2 linked regions of the Arabidopsis thaliana genome follow. The protein of the gene in region 2 interacts with the protein of the main gene of each other region in a pairwise test. Each region holds a gene or a part of one and is shown on either strand. Other genes may lie near its edges.

Region 1 (10,336 bases), on a different chromosome or scaffold from region 2:
AAAGGGTCTCCGATCGGCGATCAGAATCACGAGAATCGTCTCGGAGACGGTGAGGCTGTTGAACGGAACAGAGTTGGAGAAAAACGTGAGGTGGATTGTGATGGGAGACGACGACACTGTGTTTTTCCCGGAGAATCTTGTCAAGGTTTTGAGAAAGTACGATCACAATCAGTTTTATTACATCGGAAGCTCGTCGGAGAGTCATATACAGAATCTCAAGTTCTCTTACGGGATGGCTTATGGAGGAGGAGGGTTCGCGATTAGCTATCCGTTGGCTAAAGCATTAGAGAAAATGCAAGATCGTTGTATTCAGAGATATTCGGAATTGTACGGCTCCGATGATCGGATTCATGCTTGTATGTCGGAACTCGGTGTTCCTTTGACTAAGGAAGTTGGCTTCCATCAGGTTAGTCCTCTGTTTTTATTTTATTTTCCTTCAATTAAATTTAATTTCCATTTGAAGATTTTTCCTACATTGTCCTTTTTTTGGGTGAAAACTTAAGTTTTATTTCAGTTTTCATAGAGTGTTTTTATTTTAATGTTTGAAGGGTCAAGATCTTAGCTAGGTTTTGTTTAGGAAACAGAATAACTTAAAAATGCATTTATTATTATTTTAGGCAAAGTCTTTAATCAAACTTCCATATTTTTCATTAACTCACTCATATCTTCTAGTAGATACCAAATGCAAAAGCCATTACAAATCATTTATTTTATTAGTGCATTCTGATTTTTTGTTTTTTTTTGTTTTATTAAGACTTATGTATATAACACATCATAATAAAACTGAAAACATTTATGTAATTTTAGTAAAATGTATATTTTGTATGGCGATAATCTCGGCACTCACATAGATCTTAGGTTCACATAAGTCATTGGGATTGTACACTCAAGTCAAATATGTCGTTAGTAGTTTTCGTACGTGTTACTCTTACATTCCTCCGTGCATTCACATTATTCAGTTTGTTATTCCTATGATAGATCTAGGAACACATCCTAACCGAAATCTAAACATAAATCAAACTATTAAGTATCCAATATACATCGATTTTTGAAATCTGTGTCCCCCACTATTTTCTCGATCTATACCTATCGCTTATTAGAAAATCATCCTCGACAATTATTGTTTTGATTTTGTGTTGTTGTATCAGATTGATTTATACGGGAAACTTCTGGGCCTATTATCGGCCCATCCACTGGCTCCTCTAGTATCGATCCACCATTTAGACTTAGTGGATCCAGTATTCCCAAACATGGGCCGAGTCAACGCCATGAGACGTTTCATGGTCCCCGCAAAACTCGACTCACCGAGCCTCGCGCAGCAATCAATCTGCTACGACGCGGACCACCGATGGACCGTGTCTGTCTCGTGGGGATACACAGTCCAGATCATACGTGGCGTGTTGTCAGCTAGAGAGATGGTGATCCCCACGCGCACGTTCATCGATTGGTACAAACAGGCAGACGAAAGAAGCTATGCTTTTAACACGCGTCCTATCGCCAAAAGCGCGTGTCAGCGTCCGCGAGTGTATTACCTGTCCAACGCGCTTCCTGACTTGGCTTTGCGTAGAACTGCTAGTGAATACGTGAGATGGTACGACATGTGGGAGCCTGAATGTGACTGGGATATGTCGGATCCTTCGGAATTTGAACGGGTCATTGTTTATAAGAAACCCGACCCGGATAGATGGAATAAACATAGGGTAAGTAAACAATGTTATCATTTTTAAGTTTTGTTTCTCTATAAGTTTTATTGATTCATAATTTTGTGGTGATAATTTCAGGCTCCGAGAAGAGATTGTTGTAGAGTATTGCCCACGACGAAGAATGGGACTATGGTAATCGATGTAGGAGCTTGTAAAGATGATGAATTTGCTGAATTCCTTGTCAAATAGAATTATTTATCTTTTATAGCGTTTTCTTGTTACCAATCGTATTTTTGAAATTTCGAGCTTATGTTTTAACAGCAATTTCGAGCTTGTAAATTATTTCTTAAAACTTTTTTTAATCTTTATTGACCTCTAGGAGGACTATTATTAATGAGTTTATTATAGCCGAAAGATGTTTTGGGGTAGTGGGCTTAGCCCATTAATATATTGACGATTTAAAATGTAAATATATTCGATGCTAAAAGGACCGAATGTACATTATCGAATAAAACAAAAAAAAAAATATAAACATGTAAAGTCAAAACTTAAGTGTGATGAATGTAATGATGATGAGGAAGAAAGAAGATGAATGGGAATGGGCCTGATTCATCTTTTCCTCGTTGGCTTTAAAATTGACATATTTTGTTGACACGCGTGAGATTTCGTAGACGGAGGCGACACTGACACACATAAGCCGACATCTGACACGTGTATTTTACACACGTACGTAATACGGTCACGAACCGGCGAACCTACCAAAACCGAACACGAACCAGATTCCTTACAACCATCCAATTTGGGAGGTCTCATATCTTCTTCAACCCGTACGTCGTCGCTTTTTCTTTGTCTTAGAGCAAGCGTTTTAATTATTATTGCGTCATTAATAGGAATATATTTTGTATGACTCTTGTTGCTAATGTTAGGGAATTTTATTGGCTTGAATTTGATATTGAATAATGATTTTATTTTATTTATATAAAACAATATGTTGTTTGTTTAATGATATCTAAATTTAATATGTTAGCGTTACTCAATATTTTATTTAATTTTATATGGTTTTTTACACGGATTTTAATTCATCTTTGATTGAAATTTTAACAAATGTCAATCAGTTTTCAAACTAATAATGCAAAAGCTTAAATGTGAAAGTAATTTTTTTTTTGGACAAATGCTTTAAATATTATAGGTAAATTCTATATGTTTGATTTTAAAGTTAATAAATTCTATATTCAAAAAAAAAATCCTTATAAATTATAAAGTACACCACCAATAACCTCTTTAAGTTAACTATTATAGTATTATGTTTAGAATGTAGTTGGACATGTTTTATCCGATTAATACCAATTAGAATAGTTAATTATCAAGTACACGCTATGAGCCTATGAGCAAGAGAAGGCAGCATGGTCCTTGGCCTCTTTCTCAAGTCAAAATGTATTTTAATAATCATACATGCTGTAAACTTCAAATTCCTACTTTTTCAGAGTAAACAAAAAAAAATCAGAAATCGTAAACATATCCCCATCCCTGAATACTTAACCGTTTGACATTGAGAGTACACGTACAGGAATATCTAGATTGATTAGGTATATATAATATTTTGTATTAATAATTTAAAAAAAAAAGTAATTATCATTACCAGAACTAGCTAGTTGACATCTCACTACTTATGAGTATTTTCTAAACGCAAAAGATTATGTTAGGTGAGTTACGTGAGTAGTGCGCAGTAATGCAATTTGGTTAACGCTGTTCAATACAAATTTGAAACTAGTTGAATCCAGCAAAAAAAAAAAAAAAATTGGCTTCCAAAATATTGTTACCATAAATTCATAAACTTTCGTTAAACTTAAAGTGATTTATACACATAGTATATTCAAATATCGATAAATGTATTTTGCTAATCAAATCGTATATTCTTTTATACCAGTTTTTTAACGTCATCTCGCCAAAACAACAACAAATAGATGTAAAATAATGAAAGAAAACAAAAAACAAGATCCATGGGGAAGAGTCACATGCATGGAGCATGCAACTAGCTTACTTCATCCAATTCCCACTCAAAATTCTCTCTTTATATATACACTTTCTCTACCACTACTTCCCTCAAAACAAGCTAACTCGATCCTTCTCACTAAAGCGATCGTACCGATCTTAATATCTTTAGCGAGCGAGAGAGAGAGAGATAGAAATCCTGAGAGGAAAGAGAGGATGGAGATCGAAAAAAGCAATAACGGTGGTTCGAACCCATCTGCAGGAGAAGAATTTAAGGATATGATTAAGGGAGTGACTAAGTTCTTGATGATGGTGATTTTCCTTGGAACCATCATGCTTTGGATCATGATGCCAACACTAACCTATCGAACCAAGTGGTTGCCACATCTGCGTATCAAGTTTGGAACATCCACTTATTTTGGTGCCACAGGTAACTGAATGATCAATAATTCCCATTTTTTAACTGAATCATAAATCATGTTGACGCAATAGTTTCCAAATTTTAACGCATCTTTTTTTCATCAGCCCACGCAATTTGATTTAAAATAAAATACTAAAATTCATTTTTCTTGGTTTGCACGGCAGGGACGACGCTTTTCATGTATATGTTCCCAATGATGGTCGTAGCTTGTTTGGGATGTGTCTATCTTCACTTCAAGAATCGAAAGTCGCCACACCATATCGATAGGTACAAATTAATCAGTCAACTTTTAGGTATATAAACTGCATCACTTTCTTTGATTACAACTTGTTGCTCTTAATCGGAAAAAGGGAGACGAAGGGAGGAGTGTGGAGTAAACTAAGAAAGCCAATGTTAGTGAAGGGGCCATTAGGAATAGTCTCAGTGACTGAGATCACCTTCTTGGCGATGTTTGTGGCTCTTCTTCTCTGGTGCTTTATCACTTATTTGCGCAATAGCTTCGCCACTATCACTCCTAAATCAGCTGCCGCACATGACGAATCTTTGTAAGCTTTTCTTTTTCTTCTTTCGCCGTCTAAAATATATAATTAGTCCACTAATTTCGCTTTGTTAGTCGAAATTATGGATCAGGTTCATATACTTCAAGATTAATTAATCAGTCCATCAACAGTAGATTCTGTGCTTGATTTCTTTTTAAAATCTCCTGACAAATTATTAATAAAAAGGAACAATTTTCTTTGTAAAATACTTAACATAGTTAATCGGTTGATCACATATGAATTAAGGTGGCAAGCGAAGCTGGAATCAGCGGCGCTAAGGTTAGGACTGATCGGAAACATATGTTTGGCGTTCTTGTTCTTACCGGTGGCTCGTGGGTCATCGTTGCTACCGGCAATGGGATTAACCTCGGAGTCAAGCATCAAATACCATATATGGCTCGGCCACATGGTCATGGCCCTTTTCACCGTTCATGGTCTTTGTTACATAATTTACTGGGCCTCAATGCATGAAATCTCCCAGGTATTATTTTTGTTTTTTGTTTTATCGAAGATTTTAAAGCGGTACGTATATTATATGTGGCCTAAAATAGTCCACTAGTGGGCCCTATGAAAAAGTCAACGACTTTAAAGTAGTCACTCTGAATGGAGCAGCTTCCATACCAAGGAATGCGGTCAAATTTATCATTTTGGGTCTTCGTATGGCATACAAGTGTAGTGTAGATATCGCTATTAATTTTGTTGCACCGAAAAGAAAATTATCGAATCACGCATTTTAAGGTGGTAATTATTTGGATAAATGTTCCTTTTCTCTTTTAAAAAATCGTGTACTCCAAAATTGACGACTCGTACTCCAATAAATTATTTAATGTGATAGCTTCATACTAGGGGTACAAGAATCGTAATTTAAACGGTATAGTATATTATAATCTGACGTGGAATAAATTAATGGCAGATGATCATGTGGGATACGAAAGGTGTCTCAAATTTGGCCGGAGAGATAGCTCTGGCGGCCGGACTTGTGATGTGGGCCACCACATATCCGAAGATAAGGAGAAGATTCTTCGAAGTCTTCTTCTACACTCACTATCTCTACATCGTCTTCATGCTCTTCTTTGTCCTCCACGTCGGCATAAGTTTCTCCTTCATCGCTCTCCCTGGTTTCTACATCTTCTTAGTCGATCGTTTCCTTCGGTTTCTTCAGTCACGTGAAAATGTTCGCTTGCTCGCTGCTCGGATTCTTCCTTCCGACACTATGGAGCTCACTTTCTCCAAAAACTCTAGTGAGTACCTTTTGTCCAATTGGCTAATTGTATATGAAAAGTTCACCCTTACTGGATATTGATCTAATTCTAAACTATTCTTTTTGTTTTATAGAGTTGGTTTATAGCCCGACGAGCATAATGTTTGTGAACATACCGAGCATTTCAAAGCTGCAATGGCATCCGTTTACGATAACTTCCAGTAGCAAACTCGAACCAGAGAAGCTAAGTATTGTTATCAAGAAAGAAGGCAAATGGTCAACTAAGCTTCACCAGAGGCTTTCTTCTTCTGATCAGATCGACCGACTTGCTGTTTCTGTAGAAGGTCCTTACGGCCCTGCTTCCGCCGATTTCTTAAGGTGATTTGTTTATATACACTTTCTCAATCACCTATCTAATAACTTTATATTCAGATTTGTTAAGAGTCCTGGAAACTTGATTGACTTGCATTTCAAGAAACATTGATTTCATACTTTTTTTTTTTTTTGCTTTCTAGGCATGAAGCTTTGGTTATGGTGTGCGGAGGAAGCGGGATAACTCCGTTTATCTCTGTTATTCGTGATTTGATCGCCACAAGCCAAAAGGAAACATGCAAAATCCCAAAAATAACTCTCATTTGTGCGTTTAAGAAGTCTTCAGAGATCTCCATGCTCGATCTTGTCTTGCCATTATCCGGTCTTGAGACTGAACTATCCTCCGACATTAACATCAAAATCGAAGCCTTCATAACCCGAGATAATGATGCAGGAGATGAAGCAAAAGCTGGGAAAATCAAAACTCTCTGGTTCAAACCAAGTCTTTCAGACCAATCCATCTCATCAATCCTCGGACCAAACTCATGGCTTTGGCTCGGTGCAATTCTCGCATCTTCGTTCTTGATCTTCATGATAATTATTGGTATCATCACTAGGTATTACATTTACCCGATCGACCACAACACCAACAAGATCTATTCTTTGACTTCAAAAACCATCATATATATCTTGGTCATCTCCGTGAGCATAATGGCGACTTGTAGTGCGGCTATGTTGTGGAACAAGAAGAAGTATGGTAAAGTTGAAAGTAAACAGGTCCAAAACGTCGACCGTCCATCTCCAACATCTTCTCCTACCTCATCATGGGGTTACAATTCCTTGAGAGAAATCGAAAGTACGCCACAAGAATCGCTCGTGCAACGCACCAATCTGCATTTTGGAGAAAGACCTAATCTCAAGAGTAATATATACATGACCTTCTTTTAATTTCTCTATCTCTATCTTATATATAAGGAATTGTTATTCTAATTATGTTTTTTGTTGGTTTATATGAGCAGAACTTCTACTTGATGTGGAAGGTTCGAGTGTGGGAGTTCTTGTTTGTGGTCCTAAGAAGATGAGACAAAAGGTTGCGGAAATATGTTCCTCTGGTTTGGCTGAGAATCTTCATTTTGAATCTATCAGTTTCAGCTGGTGATTGCGTATATAACTCTGTTTTCACTATGTGTTGTGCAATTTGCTTGAGTTGCAAGTTAATAAGGTGGCCCTGTGATTTGACCTATCTTTGTGTGCTTTACATTGACTTTTCCTGTTTTTTGTTTTTCTTTATCCTCTTCTAGGAATATTCAGTGTTAAAAAAAAAACTTCCTTTCAAAAGTTCCGGAATATCCTTTTTTTGTTTGTAACACAAGGCATACAGCTTTTGTAAATTGTAAATGTTGAAATATAATACTCATGTTGGGTCATATATATGATTTTATCTCTATTTTTCAGTTAAACATACTTACGAAAAAGTCAATTTGCTCGAAACGAGTTGGGTTATACACAGATGTGAGCTACATGTAAATTAATATTTGGATCTATCAGAATTTATCTGTCAAATACAGAAATACTATCTTGCAGATAGCACAAATTACCTAATTGTTGGTTAAAAAGACAAGAAGAAGTTACGTGAACATAAAAAAAAAAAACCGTTTCAATTGACATGTCACTAATTATTCGATTTAAGTAAGAGGAAGTACAAGAACAAATTAAAGAACTCACCTATATATACATCCGTTTATTTAAAATCTGTGTTATTGTGTAACTCTGCTACAATTTAGTGGGTAACTAACAAAAAATATCATGGTTAAATTTGGTGTTCTGAGGAAATTTAATGTAAAATTCATAAATTTACGTGTGATTTTTTGATAATTGATTATTCAAAACTCAGTACAAGGAATAAAATCGAAAAAGAAAAAAAAACGAAAAGATAATAGAAATATACGTCTACACGCATCGGCGTACAAACTCAATGATTCTGCTTTCCGTTGAATTTGCTAATTTTAAGCCCAAAACTATAGAATTGCGTTTTCAATGTGAAATGAGGAAATTACACACTTTACCTAGACTCTTCCACGAGTCAAGCCTGTTTTGTAAGTCAGCAGTAAAATGAAGCTGTAAATCACAAATTAATTATAAAAAGATTCAATTATAATTTCTCTGGATAATATTATTATTTTAAAATAATAATAAAATAATTTCTTATTGGTTTATTCACCAGACCATATTTTCATATAAATTTAATTATTATTTTAAGAAAATAATATTATGCATAGAAAAATGACTTAAATATCATTTCTTTTATATAAGAGTATATTATTTTATATATATACTCTATATCTTTAAACATCTCAAGTTCTCAACATATTTAATTATTGGATCTTTTCTGCATTTAGCATAAAACTACTAATTACATTGGTGTAATTAGCATATATATATGCTGGAAAAAAATATCTTTCTATATATATGCTGGAAACAAATATAGCACATATATATGGGTTTTGTAAAATTCATTGCAAACTCCATTTCGCTTTGTTTTTTCTTCTCATTTCTTGGAAGTTCATCTCTGGTGCCATGGGAGTAGGAGAAATGAATAAGGAAGTGATTGATAAGGTGATTAAGTTCTTGATGATGGTGATTTTGATGGGGACTATAGTGATCTGGATTATGATGCCAACTTCTACCTACAAGGAAATCTGGTTAACCTCTATGCGTGCCAAGCTCGGCAAATCGATATACTATGGGAGACCAGGTAATTTCACTCGATACAGATCTAAAATTATTTATACGAATCCGTTACATATAATGGTTTTCTTATATTATAGGAGTGAATCTTTTGGTTTACATGTTCCCGATGATTCTACTGGCTTTTCTGGGATGTATCTACCTTCACTTGAAGAAATCAACAACTGTTAATCAATTTAACAGGTAATTAAAAGCTAACGACTGCTCACTCTTTAGTTAACAGCTTTTAGTTTTTTTTGTTAATATAGATTCTTTTTATTAGTTTATTTTATTTTCATTTTTTTGTAAAATTTAAAGCGGAGTGGAGAAGAAGAGAGCCAAGTTTGGTGCATTGAGAAGACCAATGTTAGTGAACGGACCGTTAGGAATAGTGACAGTAACTGAGGTTATGTTCTTGACGATGTTCATGGCTCTTCTTCTTTGGAGCTTAGCTAATTACATGTACAGGACGTTTGTCAACGTCACTTCTGAATCAGCAGCAACTGACGGAAATAACCTGTAAGTTTTAATTTATATAATGAGTTTTGTGCATGAACATAATTATTTTGTACGTATATGTAAATTCTTCATATTTAGTGATCAATCTAGATTCAATCCTATTTGCAGGGAATATTTTCTTTCCTGATAATATTGTGAGATATATGATGAAAATAAGAGTATAAATGAACTTTTCTATTTTTCACTGATATAATGATGCATCTTAAATTTATTGGGAAATTCTCATAAATTAATTTTTTCTTATAAGTTTTTTTAATTGATTGACCCATAATTTTCATAATCACTCATATCATATCTTTAACAATATGTCCTTTTTATAAACAACTTTTGCAAAATGACATTGACATGTACCATTAGTTAAGCTATGTGACAAAACAAGTTTGGCTTTTTGTGTTTGTTTTATGGCAAAACTAAAAAAGATGGCAAGCGAGGCTGGATTTAATAGCAGTACGGATAGGTATAGTAGGGAACATATGCTTGGCGTTCTTGTTCTATCCAGTGGCTCGTGGCTCGTCGTTGCTGGCTGCAGTGGGGCTTACGTCTGAGTCAAGCATCAAGTACCATATATGGTTGGGGCACTTGGTCATGATCATATTCACCAGCCATGGTCTTTGTTACTTTATCTATTGGATATCCAAGAATCAATTAGTCTCAAAGGTCACTCTTTTTCTTTTTTACATTATTCGTCGATATTGCTCTATAATTAATGCCCTAATTAATCGTTCGTGTAAATAGATGTTGGAGTGGGATAGGACCGCTGTCTCGAATTTAGCCGGAGAGATAGCTCTGGTGGCTGGACTTATGATGTGGGTCACCACATATCCTAAGATAAGGAGGAGATTGTTCGAAGTCTTCTTCTATAGTCATTATCTCTATATCGTCTTCATGCTCTTCTTCGTCTTCCACGTCGGCATCTCTCATGCGTTGATCCCTTTACCCGGTTTCTACATCTTCCTCGTCGATCGTTTCTTGAGATTTCTCC
Region 2 (8,107 bases):
ATTATGTAAGAAAACACTCACTCGGTTAACTATGAGCAACCCACTACAAGTAAGTATTGTAAAAACGTTTTTTTCTTTCAAATTCCAAGTATTTTTTAAATTTTGTAATAGAAAATAATGATTTGGGTTTTGTAAGTTAGTATTAGGATTTAGATTTTTTTAAATAGTAACGAAAGTGTTTGATAAAAAAGTAAATAGTAACGAAAGTAACCTAAATTGACATTTCCATTACCCTTGAGATGATCAAAATAAACACAATTTCTGCATGATTATGAGTTTATGACTATGCTTATTAGCAATGATTTGTTCTTTCTATAATTTAAAACCAGTTGAAACTAAAATTGTTTTTGTAAAATTTAATAGATGATATTATTAGTATACAAAACTTTTGTCAACAATGAATTGTGTGATAAGAGTTTTTTTGGAGATTTTCTTATGTAATAAAGTCTATCTTGTATGACTACAATTGATCATGGGATTCGTGGCTAATATTTTTTGTAATTATATCTTTTGAGTCAAATTCCATACTCATTTTAATATATGCAATCGAATGTATCTACTAATAATTTGTTCTTATTTAATTTGATTCTGTTGACTCTGTTCCAAAACAACTTTCGGCTATTGGATGTGTCCACGCGAAATGTAATATAATAATGATCAAGTCTTCAAAATGGCACACCTTAATTTCTTTTTGCAAATTATAAAAATTCTTTATATGGTGATCCTACGTATCTATCTAATTATCTCCCAAAACTATGGGCAAGAGTCATTATTAAAATCGACCCTTGGTCTTTTGAGATGCTCAAGAGTTTTAATTTCTAAAATATTAAGCCTTCACTAACATGATTAGAAAAAAATAAAAAGTTAAAAACATGATTAGAAATTTAGAATATTTTAATAAGTACAATGTGGAAATCTAGTGTAAACTTTCCTCGAACATTCCCCATAGATTTATATAAATAGCTAGTGAGAATTTGTTCATGCACATATTCATCACAAAGGAACTCACTGCTCTTAAATTTGCTCTAATTGTTATTACCTTGGTAAATAATATATTCTTGGTTCGATTCGAAATTTTCAAGCAAATGGGTATCGTTGAAAACATTCGTTCCCTTAAATTTGAAGTGAAAATCGTGGAAGCTAGAAACGTAGAGCTCAAGTCATCGCCAACCACTCTCTTCGTTAGGTTCTATCTCCATGCAGGGAATAACAGTAAGATTGAACTAAACACTCCAGAGATCCGTTCGAGATCAGACTGTGAGGTCATTTCCTGGAACCAATCATTCGGTCTGGAGTGCCAAGGGAACGAAACCGCGGTCGAGGAATTGAAGCAACAAAGTGTTGTTTTCGAACTACGGAGAAGGAAAACGACGCCGTTTTTGAAGAAGTGGTCGAAATCAGAGTTGGTGGGTAGAGGAAAGATTTTTTGGAAATCGGTTATAGAGACTGATGGGATGGAAATAGAGAGATTTGTAGTGATGGATGAGACAAAAGATCACGTTCTGGAAGATTGTGATAAGCATAAACCTCTTTTGTTGAAGATAGCTTTAAAAGTGCAAGCTTCAAAAATCGTGAACACTAAGAGAGTGGAAGATCTTTGTGAGTGTAAAGATTGTAGAACATGTAACTGCGTAGATTATGAAGCTTTTGTTGTAGCTTGTGCGTTAGCTGGGATTTAGTTTGTAAGAATAAAATTTAAAGAAGAGATGATTCAAAGAAACCAGAATAAGTTGTTGCAGTAAAATGTAAAAACTAAGGACCAAAGTTCAAAGAAAATGAAAAACAAATAACAACTGTCTTATAAAAGACTATGAAACGATGATGTTGTTTCAAGCATGGTCATGTCCAAGAAGGGCGAGAAGCATATCCTTGTAGTCACCAGAAGTGTCATTAGCAATGGCTCGATCAAGAGGAACACTGTTCCTGCGTAAGTATTCTTCTTTGATCCGCTCCAGGTCGACCTCTGCTCTTGTAGTGACCACTCTAGTAAGTGCCCACTCGTCTGTTCCCATCCTGTTGATGGCTCGACGTAGAACCTTCTCAAAGTACTTCTCTGGATATGTCAAGCATTTGATCGCGGTTTTGAGTAATTGAACATAATCATCGTTCGAATCTTCTTTGAGAAACTTGTTAATGGAACTTCCAAACTTGTCCTTGAAGTGATTGAGTGTTGCATTGATCTGTGCTTTGCTCCTTGTTGTCAAGATTCTGATGAGATCTTCATCAGTGTAAGCCTTCTCAGTGATCTTCTTGTGAAGTGTCTTAGCTTCGGATCTAGCCAGCTTCACGTTGACCTCATCAGCATTTCCATCGTACCTGAAGGTGCTCACAAGAGGAACCAATAGCTGCATTTTTACAAGTGGTCAAAACAAAACAACATATCATCAGAAACTTACTAATTGGTTTAAAGAATGATATACATAAATCTTTCACTACCTTTCGGATATTTCCAGATGTATGGTATGCAACATCTTCCTCGAGAGAGGTCTTGTAGCGAACATGGTATGCTTGCTTGGTCTTGAAAAACTCAAGAGAAGGTCTAGTACAAGCGATTTCAACTAGGACCCAAATGTTTTTGGTGAACAATTTGGTAGATTCATTGGCCAAATACGCATCTCTCTCCGTTGGATCAAGAGTCCACAACATCACAACTCTCTGTTTTCAAGCAAAGTAAGATGTTCAAAATAAGATGAAGAAATATAGATTTTGTATCTTTTAGTTTTGACAAACCTCAAAGTCACCAGAAAGCTCTCCGTCTAATTCCTTGAGAAGATCCTTATTGTAGTTAGCAGCATAAACGGCACGAATGAAACTGCGTTGCGTTGCGTTTCTATGAGCCAAAATTGATATGATCATCCCTTCATTAGTTCCCCATCCTGCGCCACACAAAAACAAATTTCAAACCCAAGTTTAGTCAGATAGAGAGTATGTAACAAAACCTAACTAAACCAAACCAAAATTTTACGACAGTTAGAAATTAACTGTAAATATACAAGAAAGCTGATGTTCGCTAGTAGAAAAAAAACCAAGCTTGAAAAAATCTTAGAAGATTATTAGAATTTTTTTTTTGGGTTTAAATCTGAATAAAAAAATTGTTACGAAAGCAACAAGTTAATCTGTTTAAAAGAGTTGTCTAATCGTCGATTACAAACCAAACGGTCAGGAAACGCTCCAACATAAAATCAATTGCATCCAAAATCAGCAAAAGAGTAAATAATATGTCACACAATTTTGCACCGTAACAAAAGAATCATGCAATGGAGTATAACCACAAAACTTCACGAAGTTAAGACTTCCTAAGAATCATTTGAAAAACGAAATAAAAAAGAGCTAACTTATCATCCACTTCTTAAAATTAAACCTATATACGTGTCATCAACCAAACCAGCAAGCTAGATCAGTAGATCAGACCTGTCATGATAATAGATTGAACTATTGATAATCAACCCAATTAAATAATATCAAAATGCAAATGATTCAATCAAAGCATGAATGTGAAGGCCTAGTATTTAACTTTTACTAAATCAATCTAACAATGAAGGGATGGATCATGAAAACCTTTGAATGCCTTGTGGAGCTGCTCGGAGTCTTCTTCGGGAAGAGGAATATTTGCTGGAATTTTGAGAGACGCCATTCTCCGACCACTGAATATTTCTCTAGCTCTCTAGATGAGACGAAGAAAATGTGGGACGAGGAACATGCACACTGTCTTAAATAATGAAATGATATCCCAATTTTTTATATTTTATTAATTATTTTTGTTAAAAATTAGATTTAGCAATCTATGTAAATCAGTAAAAGAGGAAAAAATTATTAATACAGGCTGTCTACAGTGGATAGAATTGATAAAACAAGTATAATGTTTTGCATTTTTTTGTCATAAAGCTGAATATTAAATGGAAATTGCACATTTTCTTAAATAATGAACTGAAATCTCAAATTTTGTTAATTATTAATCAATTTTGTTTTAAAATAGACTTAACAATTTAAGTAAATTAGTAAAATGAGAGATTTTATTAATACAATTACAGGCTGTATACAGTGAACAGAAATGAAAAAACAAGAATCATGTTTTGGGTTTTTGTCATAAAGCTGGATTTTAAATGCACTTTAAACAGCTTAAATATGGGATTACATAGGTACCGAAATTTAACTTTTAATTTATTTATTTTTTCTGTTATATAATACACGCATATTCCTTAATTAATTTCATTATTTGGATATTTCATTATTTGGACATGGATTATAACACATGGCGGACAAAACATTAGAACCAATATTGTTCATTTTAACAAGATGTATTAAGTATGGGTTTAGCTTTAATTTTAAAACCATATAATTAAGGGGAAAATTATAACTCATTAGTTTATACTAAATTAATTATAAATAGATCAATAATAATTTTTGATATGGTTTTATAATTTTTAGATTTAAAAAAAAAAATAACTGAAAACATCGACGACAAATGAAACTGAAGACACTAAATTCTTAACATGACCAAGTTGCAAGTCCAACCACAACTGTTTTATTAAACACAAAGCGATAAAATTTAGTTTTTTTTCTTAAACAAAACTTGCAAATGTTATTTCAAGCATGGTCATGTCCGAGAAGAGCGAGAAGTATATCCTCATAGTCACCATGAGTGTCTTTAGCAATGGCTCGATCAAGAGGAACACTGTTTCTACGTATATATTCCTCTTTGATCCGTTCCATGTCAAACTCTGCTCGTGTAGTGACCACTCTCGTTAGTCCCCACTCATCTGTTCCCAATTTGTTGATGGCTTGACGTAGAACTTTCTCAAAATACTTCTCTGGATATGTCAAGCATTTGATCACGGCTTTGAGCAATTGAATGTATTCGTTTTCCGAATCCTCCTTTAGGTATTTGCTCATGGAAGTTCCGAAATTGTTTTTGTAGTGATTGAGAGTTGCGCTGATTTGTGCTTTGCTCCTGGTTGTCAAGATTCTTATGAGATCATCATCAGCATAAGCCTTTTCCTTGATCTTCTCGTGAAGTATCTTAGCCTCGGACCTAGCTAACGTCATGTTCACTTCATCTCCATCGTACCTAAAAGTGCTCACAAGAGGTACCAAGAGCTGCATAAACAAAAACATATGTCACAAATTTATATGCATTCTTGACATAGTTATACGAACTGAGTTTGTTAGCTAGGAATCTTAATTACATCAATAAACATATGAGATTTCATCTAGTATACAAAATAGATGAACTAGATACATTTGATTTTATTGGATATCTCAGATGGAATTAAGCTCATGAAACTTTCACATAATTAATTATATAATACCTTTCGAATGTCTCCAGATGTGTGGTATGCGACGTCTTCCTCGAGGGAGGTCTTGTAGCGGGCTTGGTATGCTTGCTTGGCATTAAAGAGTTCAAGAGCAGATCTAGTACAAGCGATTTCGACAAGAACCCAATTGTTTTTGGTGAACATTTTGGTAGATTCTTTTGCCAAATAAGCATCTCTCTCCGCTGGTTCAAAAGTCCACAACATCACAGCTCGCTGTTTTGTTTACAAAAAAAGAAAACATAGTTAAACAGATCAGTAGACTAAAACCAAAAGAAGACGAATATATAAAGATGTTGTCTCAAATTAAAACCTCAAAGTCACCGGAAAGCTCTCTGTCTAATTCCTTGAGAAGATCCTTATTGTAGTTAGCAGCATAAACGGCACGAATGAAACTACGTTGCGTTGCATTTCTGTGAGCCAAGATTGATATGATCATCCTCTCATTGGTTCCCCATCCTGCATTAGACAAATTCACAATTACATTAAAGAAAAATAGAGTCAGAATCATGTTTGAAATCATTCATCAGTATTAGATTGAAAAAGATATATAATTCTAGTAAAATTTATCTCGTTTCATCAATTTTTGAAAGGTCTATTAAATACTAATAGATTATTTTTGATGATAGGAGTAATTTTAACCAAATTAAATAAATCCATACCATAAACCAAACTAGATCTATATACTATATAGATCAACGAATATATACAGACACATGATCGATCAGATAAGAGGGTATAGTTGAAATAGATTACGCTATGACCAACCAAACTGATAGAGGATTCAATCGAAGAAGGCGAATGCTAGACTAGTTATAACCAAAAGATTAATGAAGGGGTATAGAGAAGGACATAAACCTTTAAAGGCTTTGTAGAGTTGCTCAGCGTCTTCTTCGGGAAGAGGAACAGTGGCGGGAACTTTGAGAGAAGCCATTTTTCGAACAAGTGAAATTTCTGTATGTTCTTGTTTTTTGTTGTCTAGATGATGAGGTAGATAGAGCTCGTGTTGTCTTACTTAAATAATGAGATGGCAATTAAAGTTTCAATAAAAAAGTTTTTGTATAAAGATGTATTTTGATAAAGAGACTTAGTAATTTTTAATGAATTAAATGAATGGAAAAGGTAGTAAATCAACTGAAAATATTATTGAATAGTAAATTTGTTGACTATATAAGTGAAGTATTAAAAGCCTATCTATTTTAGTTAAAAGGAAAGAAATCAAGATAGCTGGCAGAAAATGAATTTAATTAAGTTGAATAAATTTCAAGGGAAGTATTTATATATATAGAGTGGGACAGAAACTTATGATTTTGATTGTGAATGACACGTTTGAGTTTGGCCTTGACATATGAAGAGTATACACAACTTTTTTTTTTTTTACTTTTATAATTATGTTTAGTGGATATCTATGATTTATATTTATTAACATAATATTGTTGTTTTAATTTTTTTTTTGGAAAAAAACTTTGATTAGATTTTTTTAAAAATTTGATTACTCAATAATTAATTATTTTAAGCTATATATTAAATAGACCTTTAAAGGTCCATGTGACAAGTTTATAATTATAGGAATTTTCCGGAGACAAAACAAGATTTTCATTGCTTATGTCATTTGTTCTTGTTTAACTCCAAGAATCACGTGGTTAGTGCTAAGCTTAACGTTTAAGGAGCAGTTATTTTATTGGCAACCAAATACTGATTATCGACTAATTAAAAGAATCGTAACGTCAAATATCTAATTGGTGTAGTTTATATGTTATAAAATATGTTATGGATAAACAACCCACAAGAAAGTTATAAGAATTGTAATGAATTTCAAATTTTCATTAGACCGTAAAAACAGATCTGGCGCGAAAAAAATTAAAAGGAAGATTAAATAAAAGAACAACGACTCTGCTGGGGATCGAACCCAGAATCTCTGGTTTCGTAGACCAGCGCCTTATCCATTGGGCCACAGAGTCCTTGTGATGATAGTAGAACACTTAAACAATATAACTTTAATAGAAAGGTACTATTCCCACAATAGCCAACGCCAGTTTTCTTCTATAAAGATCCGTTTAATTTGCATGAACCAACCTAAACCTTCTTCTCTGTATCGTTTCAATTCCAATTACAGTGTACTTTGAAGTTTGAATTACTATAGAAAACCAAAGTGAATCAAAATATAGACTGATGATAATCACACTTTTTGACAGAACAAAGAAAATAGCTTTTGAGATAGAAAAAGAAAGAAAGAATCGGATTCATGAAAAATAACGTTCATAATCTGAAGTATCAAGCTTTCATGGATTGTCTAATAACACTAAACACAGAAATTCACCAGGAACTTATTAGGTACACATCCAAAGAACCCCAGAAAACAAGAAAAAAAGAAAGCCTTTTTAGAACCTATAGAAGAGGATATCTATTGTCTTTGAGACAATAAGAGTATTGCACGATTCAACATTAGCTGAAACCTTGTTTGTTTATCCTCAAACAATGGCTGGAGTCTTCTCTGCTAGTTTCTGTAGCTTCTCGGGACGAGAATCTTCGGTTTTATCTTCCCCATAAGCTGAAACATGAACTCCAAGAGCCGCACGACCTGATGGGTCAAGATTCTGTGACCAAGCTGCGTCCCATTCCACAGCTTTTGCTGTGCTACATGCCACACTTGGACCTCCTGGTACAGTTGCTCTAGCAGCACTCTGCTCATTTATCAGTTATATATCCGTTAAACAAATCTGAGCAAAGATCAAGACAATTAAAGAAGACCAAGTAGTTATGCAGATGAAAATCATTACCTTAGGGAAGAACTT

Evidence for each region.
Region 1: the proteins of ANN6 (region 2) and FRO2 interact in a protein complementation assay, tested with the Arabidopsis thaliana proteins (one large-scale study listed by BioGRID).

Annotation. Positions count from the first base shown.
Region 1 is NC_003070.9:205,544-215,879, forward strand, and holds FRO2 (ferric reduction oxidase 2), read left to right. Parts: upstream 1-3,451; 5' UTR 3,452-3,617; coding exon 3,618-4,065; intron 4,066-4,220; coding exon 4,221-4,323; intron 4,324-4,406; coding exon 4,407-4,601; intron 4,602-4,841; coding exon 4,842-5,076; intron 5,077-5,508; coding exon 5,509-5,836; intron 5,837-5,930; coding exon 5,931-6,174; intron 6,175-6,311; coding exon 6,312-7,030; intron 7,031-7,127; coding exon 7,128-7,267; 3' UTR 7,268-7,539; downstream 7,540-10,336. Other genes in the region: AT1G01570 (transferring glycosyl group transferase (DUF604)), read left to right, coding at 1-406, 1,149-1,700, 1,782-1,892; FRO1 (ferric reduction oxidase 1), read left to right, coding at 8,686-8,863, 8,937-9,039, 9,154-9,354, 9,774-10,011, 10,090-10,336. UniProt on the Arabidopsis thaliana protein: Flavocytochrome that transfers electrons across the plasma membrane to reduce ferric iron chelates to form soluble ferrous iron in the rhizosphere. May be involved in the delivery of iron to developing pollen grains. Also acts as a copper-chelate reductase.
Region 2 is NC_003076.8:3,205,151-3,213,257, forward strand, and holds ANN6 (annexin 6), read right to left. Parts: upstream 3,681-8,107; 5' UTR 3,635-3,680; coding exon 3,559-3,634; intron 2,877-3,558; coding exon 2,731-2,876; intron 2,656-2,730; coding exon 2,437-2,655; intron 2,346-2,436; coding exon 1,830-2,345; 3' UTR 1,718-1,829; downstream 1-1,717. Other genes in the region: AT5G10210 (nitric oxide synthase-interacting protein), read left to right, coding at 1,086-1,679; ANNAT7 (annexin 7), read right to left, coding at 4,588-5,097, 5,310-5,528, 5,626-5,771, 6,171-6,246; ASN3 (asparagine synthetase 3), read right to left, coding at 7,784-7,996, 8,093-8,107.